2 linked regions of the Coturnix japonica genome follow. The protein of the gene in region 1 purifies or fractionates together with the protein of each later gene. This does not show direct contact. Links are inferred from orthologs where the notes say so. Each region holds a gene or a part of one and is shown on either strand. Other genes may lie near its edges.

Region 1 (7,169 bases):
GACTAACATGATTTAAAAAACTGAAGTATCTGCTAGAGAGAAAAGTTCTAACAATGATTAACTGCTCTATCAGGAAAACTACTTTTGAAATAAAGTAAAACAAATAGTTTGTACTGTAATCAGTAAACAGAAGTAGCTTACATAATATCTTGCTGAATGGACCTGGGTTTGTTTTTTTTTTTTACACTTTTGTAGTATTAGAGTCTGAATATAATGATAATTATTTAAGCACTGAATGCGAGTTTTTAGGTGTTATGGTCAAGTTGATTTTTATGTGTACAATTTGTTTTTCTCTCTCCAGACTGGAAGAATAGAAGCATGCTTTCCACTGAGACTTACACTAACATTTGTGATACAGAATGTCTCTAAGTGAGAAGAACAGCGTGGTTTTTGCGTATGAGTCTTCAGTGCACAGTACTAATGTACTTCTCAGTCTCGATGACCAGAGAAAGCAAGATATTCTTTGTGATGTTACTGTTTTAGTGGAAGACCAGCGATTTCGGGCTCACAAAGCTGTGCTTGCAGCTTGCAGCAGTTACTTCCTTTCAAGAATTGTGGGCCAATTGGATGCTGATCTTATCATTACTTTACCAGAAGAGGTGAGTGTTGTTTGCTTCTGTATTGTACCTACCCATGCTTTTGGTTTGTTTTGTTCAACTCTCAGCTCTGTTTTACAATTACCAATAGAGATTATCAATAAAGAGAAGAGAGTTAAGAACTGAGGGAAGGAAATTTCTAAGCTGTAAAGCTGCTGCTGGTTGAGATAAAGACTGAATAGACTAGAGTGAACATTGCAGACTGGAGATAGATAAATGCTCTCCTGGGGTATATGTAGGGTATATAAGTTCAATAATGTGTTTATTACTCTTAAATTAGTGCACTATATTCTAAGCATGTAAGTTTGTCAAAAAAAAAAAAAAGAAAAAAGAAAAAAGGAATATTTTGGGAATAATATGCAAATTAATGGTACTGTAATTTGCCCTTGAAATTAGCATTTTCAAGGTTTAGTTTAAGAATATCTGAGAATACAGCTGTGCTTGTATTCATTGCTTCCAGCTTCTTGTTGACTTTCTGTGCTTCAGTTCCCTATTCTTTTTGTACACTCATTGTTAGCAGCTTGATCTCCTTTTCTGCTATATTTATGCTTTAAAGCCAAGAACAATTGCTTGCTTTTTCACCTTAAATAAATATTTCTAAATCAGATTGAATTTAAAGGCATTTAGGGGGAATGAGCCGGAACCTGTCATGCATAGGAAAGCAATTTGGTTATCAGATATCTGAAGCATCTAAGACATTCAAAGATTCCAGTTGGTATTTAGTTGAAAGCATTTCAGATTCTTAAGTACCATCTGAAATCTTCAAGTGCCATGAGGCAAACAACTGTTTATATGAAACATTGTGCTTGTAAATGAAAAGTCAAAAGCCTTCAAGTACTCTATGCCCAGAAGCAGAAGTAAGCTGAAGAACTGGTACATGATCAGCGACTTTCTGGGAGGCTGTTTCTGGTAAACAGCTTGGGAAGGGAGTTAAAAATAACATGAAAATTGTTGGCAAGTCATCTAGAATCATTAAAGCCAGGAGGAAATGTGCGTGACAATGAATATCTGTAGTGACGTCACTTCAGCAACTTGTTTGTGTACAAGAGCAAGTTGAACACTACCTTAACATAATTATGTATTCAGAAAGCCTGTATCTTCCTAAAATAGCTCATTCACTAGCTCTATAATATATAAACACAAGGATTCTCTGTAACTGTAATATCTGATTACTGAAAACCAAAAATGATCACATCATCTCTTTTGATGTGTTTTGATGAATTTGCTACAAACTGATGTTACGCCATGATAACACTGTCAGCTTTATTCATTCTTCCTGTTGCCTCTGTATGTTCGTTTCTTCTTCCCTCTCTTCTCTATAGTGGCTTAGCATGTTAATAATGCAAATAGTATGAGTGAGATAAATCCTTTTAAGCCTGCAACTTCACAACATTGTCTAGTACTACTGATGTAAAAGCTGAATGTGCTGCAATAACAAGCAAAAATACCAGCAGAGCATCTTATCTTCTGATAATTTGATCTCATCACTTGGTAAAAAACACTTTGTGAAATTGGAGCTTGTCTTTTGGAAACTGCTAAATGTTTTGAAATGAGTCAGTTTATGAAACTGAGTACTTGAGAGGGACAAATAAATAAATACTAATTGGCTTGGCAATTTCTTAACCCTTTTGATCATCCAAAGTTTTTGAAGTTCAAAATAAAATATGCCGGTCCAAAACGTGAAATACTTGAATATTGACATTAACTTGTTTCATATAGATCATCAAAGCTAACCGGTGACACCTTGCTGTCAGTCGCTTCTATTGTCTTCCTACAGAAGTTACACTCTGAAATTAGACTGCCGTCAGCAATACAGATGAAACAAATAGCTTCTGCCAGACTTCTCTTCATTCAGACCAACAGTCTTTCCAGTGATAGATCATGTTTGAGGAAAGCTAGCTAGAAAATATGGGAGAAAATATGAGGAGCAAAGTGTTTTTTGTTCTGTAAATCTTTCAATTTATTTATTCTTTTTTAGCAAGGAGTGGTAAATGAAGTATGTACAATTTTGAAACATATTCGTTTGGTTTGGTTTCATGTATGAATGTAGTCTGTTTACAACCAATAAATCTTATTTATTTATAGTAGGTATAAATATACCTTGCAAGCACATAGATAAACTCTTTTCCTTTTCACTTTTTTTTTTTTTTTTTTTTTGAGGATGAATTAAGAATACTGACCAGATCACCATGTTGTCTTTAGGGTATATTTGAAACATTTTTAGAATTCTTTAGGTTTAAGAGTTTTCAGAATATTTTGCTAAGCTGTCTGCATAGATCACTTCAACTGCCTTTTATTTGGTATTTCCATGTTCTTTAGAAATAAAAAGCCCAGTGTGTGGGCTTGGGCTATAGTAGTAATAATAATGGACATACTCCATTTTATTTTTACTTGCTAAAGGAAGTAGCATGTAACTTTTAATATGACTGTGTTGCAGAAAGGAACCAGGTCGAGACTCGAACTCGTGGGTACTCCAGGGTTGATTTTATTAACAAGCTCAGTGCTCAGGTGAAACATGCATACAGAGCTTGGGTCACTCCTAGTGAATGACCCTTAAGCTTTACAAACGTCCTATATTTATATGATTAGGTAAACATTACATCATTTATGTTATTCATTTCTCGTGATTAATCAATACATCTTCAGTCCTTCTTTCTCGTGTTTCATCCTAGGCCCAGGCTTCATGCTTCACGTGTTACTCTTCTTTTGAACTTGTCCAAAAACTCATTATCTTCTTTCATCCGAGCCATCCGGGCTAGACCAGTCCATTCCATCTGTCTTATGGTTAAACTATACATTTTAACTGTTTAACTACTAAATAGCAATGTCAGCACTATTATTGTCTACCTCTGCTGTTTCATAACTTCACAATACTCTAACACCCCTACATGGGTCATGGTTCAGGGCTATACAGGGGATACATGAGTAGCATATTGGTTGAGAAATTTACCATTTTCCCTAACAACTGTCTGTTTACACCTTTCTACCTGCTTTCTTAGTAATTTTTTCAATGATAAGCAGGATTGTTTATCTTTGAATTCCCTTTTAGGTAACTGCTCTGTAGTAGAAGCTGAGTTGATAATGATGGAACTGTTCCAAAAGGCTTACCTTCTCCAAAGAGACTGTAACTGCTGTTGGCTTAGGGTTTTGGTTACTATTCTTTTTGTCCATGAGAGGAAGAAAGGCATAGATGGCTACAGTAGTAAATAATTGTGTGCGGTCAAACTCAATTACTTCAAAGTTCTTTATATCAGTGATGCATGAAACTGAGCAAATAGCAGTAATTGCTCTTTAAAGGAATGATTCATGCCAGCAGCGTTTTGATCTTTCTCAGGAATAACTCACGTGTAATTTTACTATGGAAATTATCTTTATAAAATTTGAGTCCCTCTCCTGGTTTTCAGATTACAGCAATAAATTTCACTTTTTAGTACTGTATTATGAGAGTTGTTTAAGAGGTTGATCACAGTGAAGAAAATAACTGCCATATAAAATATACAGGATATAATTATTTCTTATTTGCTTCACAATGTGTGTGGCCAGATTTCCTTTCTGAAGCAAAACTGCTGCTTGTCTCTCGTTCTTTGTCCTGATGGCATGACTTTCTGAATACAGGATGTGAGTTCTGGGTGTTTAAGCCCATGTACATGTTGGGACTGTAACTAGAAACTTGGCAACCTAACTACTACCCAGTGAAACAGAAGTGGATAAGTGGGGCCTTGTTCTTTTTTATGTGGTTTGCACTGGTAAATGGGAAGCAAGAGAGTTTCACCAAGCAGGAAGTTGGCCGTGCTAATTTTTTTCTTGTTTTTCTTCCATAGGTAACGCTTAAGGGATTTAGCCCCTTGCTTCAGTTTGCATACACAGCTAAACTTATTTTGAATAAAGACAACGTGTCTGAAGTTTGCAAGTGTGCTGAATTCTTGGGCGTACGGAACATTGAAGAGTCTTGCTTTCAATTTCTCAAATTCAAGTTTTTGGACTGTAAATCAGATCAAGAGTGGCCTAGGAAGAAATGCTGCACACAGCATTGTAGGAAAGTAAATCCTAAAATTAGCAACGTGGATGATGGAGACCTAGAAATAGACGATGAAGCGGAAGAACTTCTAGAAAAAGAATATATTCAAGCCTCTCATGCAAAGCTCTGTAAAGATGATGACAGTGCTAAAGCATCACCTGCCCTTCAAGATAATGCCAACCCAACCTCAGATCCTATGCATTTAGAAAAAGGTAATGTTTCCAGCTCATCTTCCCAGTGCCCCAAGTATAGGAAATTCCAGAAAGCTTTTGGAAATGACAAAGTTCATACTTCAGATTCCAGTTCCAGTACTAAAGATGTTCAGGTGCCACCAATTGTAACCTTTATCGAGAAGGAAATACCTGATAATGACAGCCCAACAAAAGCTCAGGAGTGCGTACCTATGCAGCTGGTCTCGAAGTGTGAGGAGACTCAGGTAAAAATGGAAGAAGGGGAGGAAGACATTGAGAAAAAAGAAGAATCAAAGAGAGATTCTGTGACTCAAGGCATCTCATGTCCTGTGGAGAAAATGGATGTTGCTGCTTTCCCCCAAAACACTGCTGCGCCTCATGGACTTAATTCTGTGTCTTTTTTACGTACTTGTGAGCAATATGGTAACTTCAGTAGCATGCAAAGCACCACAACCTTATCAGAAAAAACTGCAACAGGTACTGGAGCTGAAAGTGACAAATTTGAAAGTCATGACAATGCAACTTTAAAGGTTGATTTGTGTACTAGGGAAGCCATTAACGTTACATCAACTGGTGATCGAAGCAGTGTGGAGAGAGAGGTAGCAGAACATCTAGCAAAAGGGTTCTGGAGCGATATTTACAGTACAGAACGCTGTCAAATCCACTTACCTTCTGCAGTGCCAAAAGAACGCTTGGAGCCTACGTATTCAGCAAAGAAATCAGAGTGTCCGTGGCTGGGTATCAGAATCAGTGAAAGTCCTGAACCTTGCCCTCCGCGAACTTTTACAACGTTGAGTTCTGTCAACTGCCCCTTCATAAGCAATCTTAGTACTGAAGGATGCTCCAACAGCTCTGAAATAAGCAGTGGAGATTATGTTCAAGGGCAACAGCAAGAACAGTGTCCCTATAATTACGTGATAAGTTTGGGAGAGGATTCAGAAACTGATACTGAGGGTGACAGTGAATCCTGTTCAGCTAGAGAACAGGAATGTGAGGTAAGAACATTCTTGTTATCCTTTGCTTCCCTGTCTCTTAAGGCCCTTCTCAGAAATCTAGTTCTGCAATATAGTTTCATTACTTCTTGTTGTAAAACCTTGGAAAATGGAAGTTAAAGTAAACGTTTGAAGGCTTATGTGGGAGAAAACTGTTAAGTCAAGGAGACTTTAAATATTTGGAAGGACACTGAAGTGATAGATGCTTAGGTGTTAGATCTCTTCGGATATGTTTCTGGAATAACCTTATGATCAACTTTTGACTTTTAAATCAAGTACTGTAGAGGGTTTTTTTAGGTTTTTTCTCTTTTTTTTGTCTACTTCATTTAAAATTAATTCTAAAATTCATGGTGTGTTTTATAGAAACTTGATTATGGAAACATGTTCTTCTTCAGACTTGAGAAGGTGGGAGGGAAATAACACTTCGCATTACCTGCAAAAGGAGAAGACAAGTTTTAAAGCTGGCAACAGTAGTTGTGCATTTAAGAGTGTTTTAATAGCATCGCTTTCTCTGAAACTTAGGTTACATTTGTTCTCTCCAAATGCAGAAAATGTTTGGCACTTCTTTCCAATGTGTCATTGCTTTGGTAGGATTTTAGACAGATGCCCTAAGTAGTCAAATACCAAGTGGTTCTATTGCATATGTAAAATGACTTCAGTGGTAGTTACTAGGATTGTAGAATAGCAGGGTGCCTCATTTTGCTGTGGGACATTGAAGGGACTTTTGCCGTAAATGGAAGCAACAATTCCTGTAGCAGGTTGGCAGGTCAAATAAAGGGCTGGGATAGGCTTAAAAGCATTTCTCATCTCTACATTATGAAGAAGTAAATGGCATAGTGAAGGCAGTACTCTTCCCCTTGGGTTACATGGGATAGGCAAACACAAAAAGGATGTTTTTCTTTCCAAATCAATTTCAGATACTTGACTACAGTAATGGAATAAATTTTGCTTCTTAATTCATTCCAGTTTAGGGGTTGTAATAGTGTCTTTAACTGCATACTTAAGAATTCTTTATAGAGGTAAAGATGGTTTTCAGTATTTGTCAGAGCTGTATGATCTCTGTATGTTTCCGAAGCTCTTGCTTCTGTAGCTGAGGTGTATGTTGAGTAGCAGCAGCATTAAGGTGTATAAAACAAGCGTCAGCTACCTGTACCTTCCCTGTTTTTAAGTAGATGCCTATTTCAAATGAACTTTTCCTGCAGAAAATGTAAGGTATAAAAATTTATACAGAATACAGGCTTATCAAGTTAGAGGGAACTTCAGGGTGCAGTTGTGATTCTTGACCCCTATTTTATTTGCCTGCTAACAGTAACTTACTTGCCTAGAATGTATCACTAAAGTGATTCCCTGTACACAGGGATAGACTTCAGCC
Region 2 (7,611 bases), on another chromosome or scaffold:
GGATAACAACAGAAGCATGAGAACGACAGCACACTGCAAAGGCAGCCACTGACACCAGCACAGCACGGCGGAGCTGGGAGAGCACAGAGAGAGCAACACGAGGGGACGCAACGGAAGCCAGCAAGATCGAGAATAAGTCACTTTTGGTACAATTGCAAAAAGATATCAAACAGGATTTGCCTCTTTTTTTGTCTTTTTTTGTCGTTTTGTCTTTTTTTTGTCTTTTTTTTTTTTTTCTACCTTTTATAAATAAAGTCTGATAACTCTTTATAAAAACTAACCTCGGAGCCACAAACAGTTTGCGGGAGGTTTCATGAGAAACTTTAAAATTATTTCTTTATTAACTTTTAACTAGCAAAGTCTCCGAGAATATTTCCCCATTCCTATGGCCAAATATTCTCGCCCTCTCGGATAAAAAAAGCTGACTATAAATACGCTCTCTCTTCTGTCTTGATTTTCATTTTAAACTTAGATAATTTAATAACTCTTAAAACGATGTTTCTCTTTAAATAAAAGGGCTATTTAACCACATAAACTGGTCGTGTAAACCATCACACTAGAGACACTTGATACCCTCAAAACACGGGAACAACTAGTGATTTTGGTCTTGTTCAGTGCAACGCATTAGGCACAAAACCGGCCTGCAGTCAGCAAGGTACCTCCCTCCCCCCGACCCCCCAACCCCAAGGTGCTGGGCCCCACACAGACCCCATCCCATCCCATGCCCTGCTCTGGGGCAGAGGCAGTGGGGCGCACCAGCATCTTCCCGTCTCCCGCTGCTATCTGCACTCTACTGCCATGGAAGCCTGAAGGAAACTCACTGCTCGAGCACAGAGGCGCACCTAGAAATGAATACCACATCTATTACACAGAACACCCCAGCTGCAACTACAGGTACCGGATGAGACAAAAGCAGCAGGTTCAGGTGCCGGGCAGTCAGGCACCTGGATACACCACCTGGAAGAGTAATGAAATAAAGCCTTTGGAAGTGACTGAAAACTGGGGTTCCAGGAAGAAAGCCTCCCTCCGGGCCGCTCGCTGCGCAGCGCAGACTTCCTTTGGCTAGAACACCGAGATCTTACAGCCTGTCCCAAGGGCAGCTGAGGGCTACAGACCGTTGGGTGGGAGGTGCTGTCTGCACAGGACAAGGGATGCATCACCACTGCTCATACCAATCTGAACACAACAAAACAAAACCAGAGCGATCAGCAGGCCAGTCCTGGGCCAAGTAGAAGGAACCCTGACCCGTGTGGGGAGGGTTTGTGCTTTGGGGATTCCAGGCTGGTTTTGTGCCTAATTGCCCTGCACAGACAAGCTCAGGCAACACTCGCTTCACTAAGACCGGGCGTCCGTTTTGGATTTCACTATTGTGATGACACTAGTGGTAGCGACCTTGCCAGGGACGAGGGGCCCCATGCTGGAGGTGAGAGGGCCCCGCACAGGGGTGACGGGGCTCCGGGCCACGGTTCTGGCGAAGTTCTGGAGTGCCTCGTATTTGGAACGGAGAGCATCGAGTTCCATTTTCATGCTGGCGTTCTCAGAGGCCAACTTCTCCACCTCCTGCTGCAGCTCTGCCTTCTGCTTCTCCAGTTCCTCCTTCTGGGTAACGCGTTTGACCCTGCAGCTGGCTGCGTAGCCTCGGTTCTTCAGCGTGCGCCGACGCTGCTTCAGCTGGATGATCTCCTCCTTGGACAGGCCCCGCAGATGCTGGTTCAGCTCCCGCACGGACATGGTCACCAGCTCCTCGTCTGTCAGGCTGGTCCCATTCTCGCCTGGCTCCCGCTTCACCTGTGAGAAGAGAAGGCAGTGTGTGCGGTCTGAAGCCTCGAGCAGCCGCCCACACCCCCATCCTCCACCTGCTGCTTTACCTTCAAGGCCTTGTTTCCTTTGTTGGGGGTCGTCATAACACGGCAGCCACGTCAGTCAGGCTCTGGAAGGGAAGGAGGTCAGGTTAGTCCCTGGGTTGGTTCTCAGCAGGGCCAGAGCAGCCGCACGGAGCCCCGCAGCAACACCCCGCACTGGGGCACTCCCACTGCCCTCCCCAGGCAGCACTCAGCCTGACTGCATCGGACTCACAGTACAGCAACAGATTCTATCCCTGAGCACAACCTGCTGCCCTCCCCCAGCCCTATGACCACGGAGCCTTGTAGCAATGCTGCTTTTTTGTTTGGGGTGTGGGGGGGAGAAAATTAAAAAACTAGGAGGAGCCAGAATACACGGAAGCCACATTATTAAAAATAGCCTGGCAGCAGCAGCCAGGTCCGGAGCACGCCTGCTCAGGGCCAGTCACGCTGACTCAGCACGGCAGCAGCCCGCGCCTCTGCTCCCAGCTGCATCCTCACAGCCCCTGAGCATTGCACAGCAGCACAGCCCCACGCTGTGCACCCGCTGCCCAGCACAGAGCTGCCCACAGCGAGTCCTGCCAGACCCACGATGCTCCTGAGGACACAGCCTGGCACAGTCCAGGAGCACAACACTGCTGGTGAGTGGAGGGGATGGCCTCACCATCACGGTGCAGCTGCTTGGTGCTGAACACCACTGCTCCTATCCAAAATGCTGGTGCTCCCCAGCAAAGCCAGCACGGCTGGGTTACAGTCTGAGTTCTGCACCTGACCCTTCCCGTGGGGAGGATGGGCAGCCCAAACCCATGGCTTGATGCTGGGGCACACGGGAAGCCCATAGTTGATCTGGGGATTCCTCAGCAGCCCTCCCTGCTCTTGTCACCCAAAGCCGACCTACAGCCGTACACCCTTCCCACTGAGCAGTCCCTATCAGCCCCAGCAAAGCCAGGGCTGCACCAGCTTCTCCCCTCTTTATCTTCAGAGCTGAGAGATAAGAAAACAAAGATCGAGGGAGGCCAAAACCAGAGGGGAGCAGACTCCTTCACTGCCAGGGAGGACAGCATTCCAGGTCTATAACAGCAGCTCCTGGGGCTGTCTTCATACAGAGACATACCTGGGCTCCTGCTCCTGTCCCTATGCACCTCCTCCCCTCACACCTCGGGTCAGAATTCCACTGCACCCCAACAAACTGAATCCTCAGCAGCCACGTCTGTCCCACACAGCCCGGCACTGCTTCCTGCAGCAAGGCCAGCACTGTCTGTGTGCAGGTGCAGTCCATGAGTACCTTTGTACCTTCCGTGCCAGCCAACAGCAATTCCGTTCGCTGCTCTTTTGTTTGCTAGACGTAAGAGGCAGAGCTGCAGCCAAGACCCAGCTGTACAGTCAGCAAATACGGCTTTCTGCTCCTCCAGCAGCTGCAGCTCAGGCTCCCGCAATGCGCCCGGCGCTGACTGCTAGAGGTGAGCGGGATCAGCGTCCTGCAGGACACGGAGCACACCAGCACAATTCAGATGTTCCCCCAAGGCCGGAGCCTGCCAGGAGGCAGCTATTTATACCCAGAGGACAATGTTCCTTGCAGCATGACGGCCGTGACAACCCGACAGCGTGGCCGTAAGGGTCACTTTGCCACCGAGGGAGGCGGCTGCATTGAGGGGAGCACATGCAGACTGCAGCCTCCTGCAACCAGTTCTGTGCTTTCCCGTGCTGTTATTTCTCTTTCTTTGCTCTGTTTCCTCCCCCCCCCCCCCACCCTAACAAACAAAATGGCTGCTGGAAAAAGGGGCAGATGGAAGAGAATAACTGGGGGGAGGCATAACACCGGCCCTGAGGAACCCTCTGACCGCACGCTGGGGTCAGTATGGCTGCAGTAATGTGTGCCTGCAGGGCTGAATGGTTCCCTGCTACCGGGAAACACTCAAACTTCCTTCATTGTAGCAGAGCTGGGAAAAACAAACACTGGATGGGGCTGGGCACAGGTAGAGCAGCTCAGGGTGCAGGGCAGGAAACTCACACAGCCCTGAGCTCAGAGCCTGTGCTCACCTTGCACCTCATACTGTCATTTCTGCTGAGAGAAATTGATAAACGCACAGATAGAGGCACTAAAGGACGGGTCAACCAGGGCTGCTGTGCTGAGAGAGAACAGAAATGAGAGGAGCTTGATGGGGGGACACGGCTGGGATGAGTGCAGGGACACAGAGCTGTGATGGGGGTCAGGGAGTGCTCCCCATCCTGAGCCACAGCATCGCTGCTGTGGGACACGAGGCTGCAGTGTCTGTATCCGAGGAACTGGACAGTGCATGTTGTGTGCTGGGGGCGGCTCTGGGACGGGGCTGTGCCTGAACGCAGCACCAGTTTGGACCCTCCATCCCCTTCCAGAGACACAGCAGAGCACGGACAGCACGGGGCTGTTATGTGTGAGGGGGGCAGCAGCTGAGCCGGGGGCACACACCGAACCAGCCTCATCCCGGCTGTGCAGCCCGTTCATTGCTCGGCTTTTTAGAGGCTCCCGCAGATCGCACTGCAAAGTGCCCAACGCTTTGACTGCAGCAACAAAATGCCGCCTCAACACATTGCCCGGCGCTCAAAAGCCCTGAGCTCAGCACGGCCGCAGCCAATTCCCCCCCGGCGCGGAGCCGTTTCCCCGTTCTCTCCCCGTTCTCTCCCGGTTCCCTCCCGTTCCCCATCGCGGCGCCTCGCCACGCGCGCACTGTAAACACGGTGACGTCGCCGTGGCGCGGAGCTCTCCTTCCCCTCCCCCCCCGGTGCGGGATCCCGTTCCCGTTTATCCGTGTTGTTATTTTGTTCCCCTGACCCCACGCGGCCCGTCCCGCCGCTCACACACCCCGCACTTTCCCCCGTTAAAGCGGCTCCGCCGCCGCCCGTCCCGCGGGATCCCGGTGACCCCACGGCGATGCCGGGAGGAGCGGAGCGGCCCGAGCCCCGCGGCGGGTGAACCGTCGGGAAGCGCCGCGCTGCGCCTCCGGCCTGGCCAGCTCCACCGGGCACCGGGACACCGTGTGACCGAGCGGGGGCTGAGCGCCGGGCGGACCCGGTGCGGGGCGGGGCGGGCGGAGCGGCGGGGCCCCGCGCACCTGTTGCTCGGCCGCGGCGGGGACCGGGCCGTGCGCGCCGCCAACCGGGCGGTGACCGGCGGCCACGGAGCCCCCGCCGTGAGTCAGCGCCGGCCGCTCCCGCCCCGCCCCCGGGGACCGGCCGCCGCGCCTCGCCGCCCCGCCTCGCCCCGCCCGGTGCCAGGGCCGCGCCCGCCGCCCGCGCCGCGCCTCCTCCCTTCGGTGCCGCCGCCGCCGCCCGCCCCTCACCGGCCGCGCTCGCTGCGGTCACGTCCTGACGGAGCCGTTGGACCGGGCGGGGCGGGGCGGGGCGGGCAGGCCGCGCTGCACGAACCGGGACCGGGACCGCGAGCCGCCGCCGCTCACGGACGCGTCACGTGATGTTTGGGTCACGTGGCTCCATTCATGAAGCGCCCGGCGCAACCGCCCCGCGCCTTAAAGGGGACGCGCCGGGAGGGCGGGAAACGGGGCGGGACCAGGAATGGAACGGGACCGGGACTTAAAGGGACCGCGGGGATGGGAACGGCCGCGGTGTGAGCCCAGCAGGGCGGCAGCACCGAGCAAAGCGCGATGGATAGCAATGGGCAGCAATGGATAGCAATGGGCAGTAATAGATAGCAATGGGCAGCAATGGATAGCAATGGGCAGTAATAGATAGCAATGGGCAGCAATGGATAGTAATGGGCAGCAATGGATAGTAATGGGCAGCATTGGATAGCAATGGATAGTAATGGGCAGCAATGGGAGCTCCGCTGCCGTCGGGCCTTTGTTACCGCCCCACTTCGGCCCCGTCAGTTCTCATTTGTACAGACACGGCTCTGGGGCGTCCGCAGCTCCAACCACTGCAGGACTGAGGGGACAATGGAGCTGGGCCGGGTGAGCGCTCAGTGCCGGGCTGTGGGACGGCGGGGACACGGAGCTGCGTCCACCCAACACAACCAGGAGCCGCCACGGGTCCGATAGAGGAATGGTTTATTCAAGGAGCAGAAAGAGCAGCAGCCACGTCACACCTACACGGCCTTGTCCCAGTACCAACTGACACAGCACCGCACTGACACTGCCAGCACCTGTGGAGTTCTCTGCATTGATCCCCAAATGCTTTTCTTGCACCACACACATAGACGCTCTGGGTTCCTAAGGAGGAACCTCAGTGTACATCAAGGTAGAACAGGACGACACTGAGATCCACCCAAATCCCTTCCATCCTCCCCAGCCCACAGCTCCCACTGCAGCCCAGCAGCAGCTACCGGGGCAGTGTGAACATTGGGTGCTGCTTCCTGGTCCAGGACAGGGCTCTGGAAGAAGAGGGAACTCTATGGGGATGGTGGCTATAAAGAAGCCATAGAAAGCTGCTGTTGTGGGGATGACTGCCAAGAATGCACCCTGAATGAATCAGTGTGGCTGAGGGGTTCACATTGACCCTCTATTTAAAGTCAAAGCGGATGGGAAATGAGGCAGAGGCACTTTGGTCCCTGGTGAGAAGCATATTAGAACCCAGCCTCAGCGCACAGCACTGCATTGGTGTGACAGCAGCTGCTCTAGCTAAGAAAAAACAAGAGATGAGCTCTGAAAGCAGATGGAAGATGGGGAAAGAGGGATCCAGACCTGACTCAAACCTTTGAGACTGAAAAGCAGTTGGAAAGTTCTTAAAGATTCTGCTACCAACTGTTTCTACACGGGACACAATAAATGCTACCTCAGTTCTGAAGCATCAAAGGCTTCTGGCAAATAGTGCCCTTGACAAAGCTCTGAGTATGGTGCTCCCCATGCCCACAGTGAGCAGCTCTGCGCTGCCCCACGGCTGCTGTAAGCTGAGAGTCGGGTATGGAAAACACCAACATTCAGCGTGAATGTTTTCCTTAGTCAAAAAAGAAAGGGCATAAAGGGAAGTGATGGTCAGTGCAGCCAGAGTACAGCAGGACGGCAGCCTGCTCAGTTCTTCTTGCTGCTGGGGTTCTTACTGTTGAACAGACTGACTTTGTTGGTAGATGCCACAGAAAGAGAAGGAGACTCCAGCTTCACCTTATCCAACAAAGTCTTCTTTATGGCTGCTGGGGAGATCTTCTCCTTGTCTGCCAAATGCTGCAGCTGCCTGCCATGGGGTGGTAGAAGAGAGAGATGGTAAGGAATAGAAAGAGAGGAGTGTTGATGGCTCTTAAGGATTTCTCAGTGCCCACCTTGTTCGGATACAGGAAGCCTCCACAGCATTGATGAGCAGGGAGCGAAAGCCTCCGCTCTCCAGGAAGTGCAGGGCATGAATGGTGGCTCCCCCAGGGGAGCAGACGTTGTCCTTCAGCTGACCTGGGTGCTGCTCTGATTCCAACAGCATTTTGGCAGCGCCCTGTGGCGAGGAATAGAAAACAACAATCAGAACTCTGTATGTTTGTTGAAATATATTCAGTAAGGGAACTGAAATCATTTTAAACTATAAGACTATAAAACTAGAAGGAGTCTCAAGAGCATTTTGGAGGAAGCAATACTAACCAGCAAAGCCTGGGCTCCGAGCCGAACAGCCAGCCTACGGGGAAGCCCCATTTTCACACCTCCATCAGCCAGAGCATCCAGGGCAGTGAAAGCCTGAGATCAGACAGAGGAAAAAAGGGACTGAAAGTCTCTATTCTGAGACCGGTGTTCTTACAGAAGGCAGAATCCACAGCTCTAGGATCACACTGTGACTCCTGTCACTTACAAAGACTTGA

The links.
Region 2: the proteins of BACH1 (region 1) and MAFG purify together in Homo sapiens (affinity purification with mass spectrometry; 5 studies listed by BioGRID and IntAct, counting the BioPlex papers as one, with this or other methods). This does not show direct contact. The link is inferred for Coturnix japonica from reciprocal best matches to the Homo sapiens genes BACH1 and MAFG.

Annotation. Positions count from the first base shown.
Region 1 is NC_029516.1:93,629,710-93,636,878, forward strand, and holds part of BACH1 (transcription regulator protein BACH1), read left to right. Parts: intron 1-301; 5' UTR 302-359; coding exon 360-599; intron 600-4,417; coding exon 4,418-5,800; intron 5,801-7,169. UniProt on the Homo sapiens protein: Transcriptional regulator that acts as a repressor or activator, depending on the context. Binds to NF-E2 DNA binding sites. Plays important roles in coordinating transcription activation and repression by MAFK.
Region 2 is NC_029533.1:4,418,704-4,426,314, reverse strand, and holds the start of MAFG (transcription factor MafG), read right to left. Parts: upstream 5,321-7,611; 5' UTR 5,162-5,320; intron 4,953-5,161; exon of another isoform or gene 4,934-4,952; intron 3,560-4,933; exon of another isoform or gene 3,127-3,559; intron 3,102-3,126; exon of another isoform or gene 2,956-3,101; intron 2,931-2,955; exon of another isoform or gene 2,077-2,930; intron 1,931-2,076; 5' UTR 1,905-1,930; coding exon 1,869-1,904; intron 1,789-1,868; coding exon 1,336-1,788; 3' UTR 1-1,335. Other genes in the region: PYCR1 (pyrroline-5-carboxylate reductase 1, mitochondrial), read right to left, coding at 6,845-7,004, 7,090-7,253, 7,397-7,489. UniProt on the Homo sapiens protein: Since they lack a putative transactivation domain, the small Mafs behave as transcriptional repressors when they dimerize among themselves.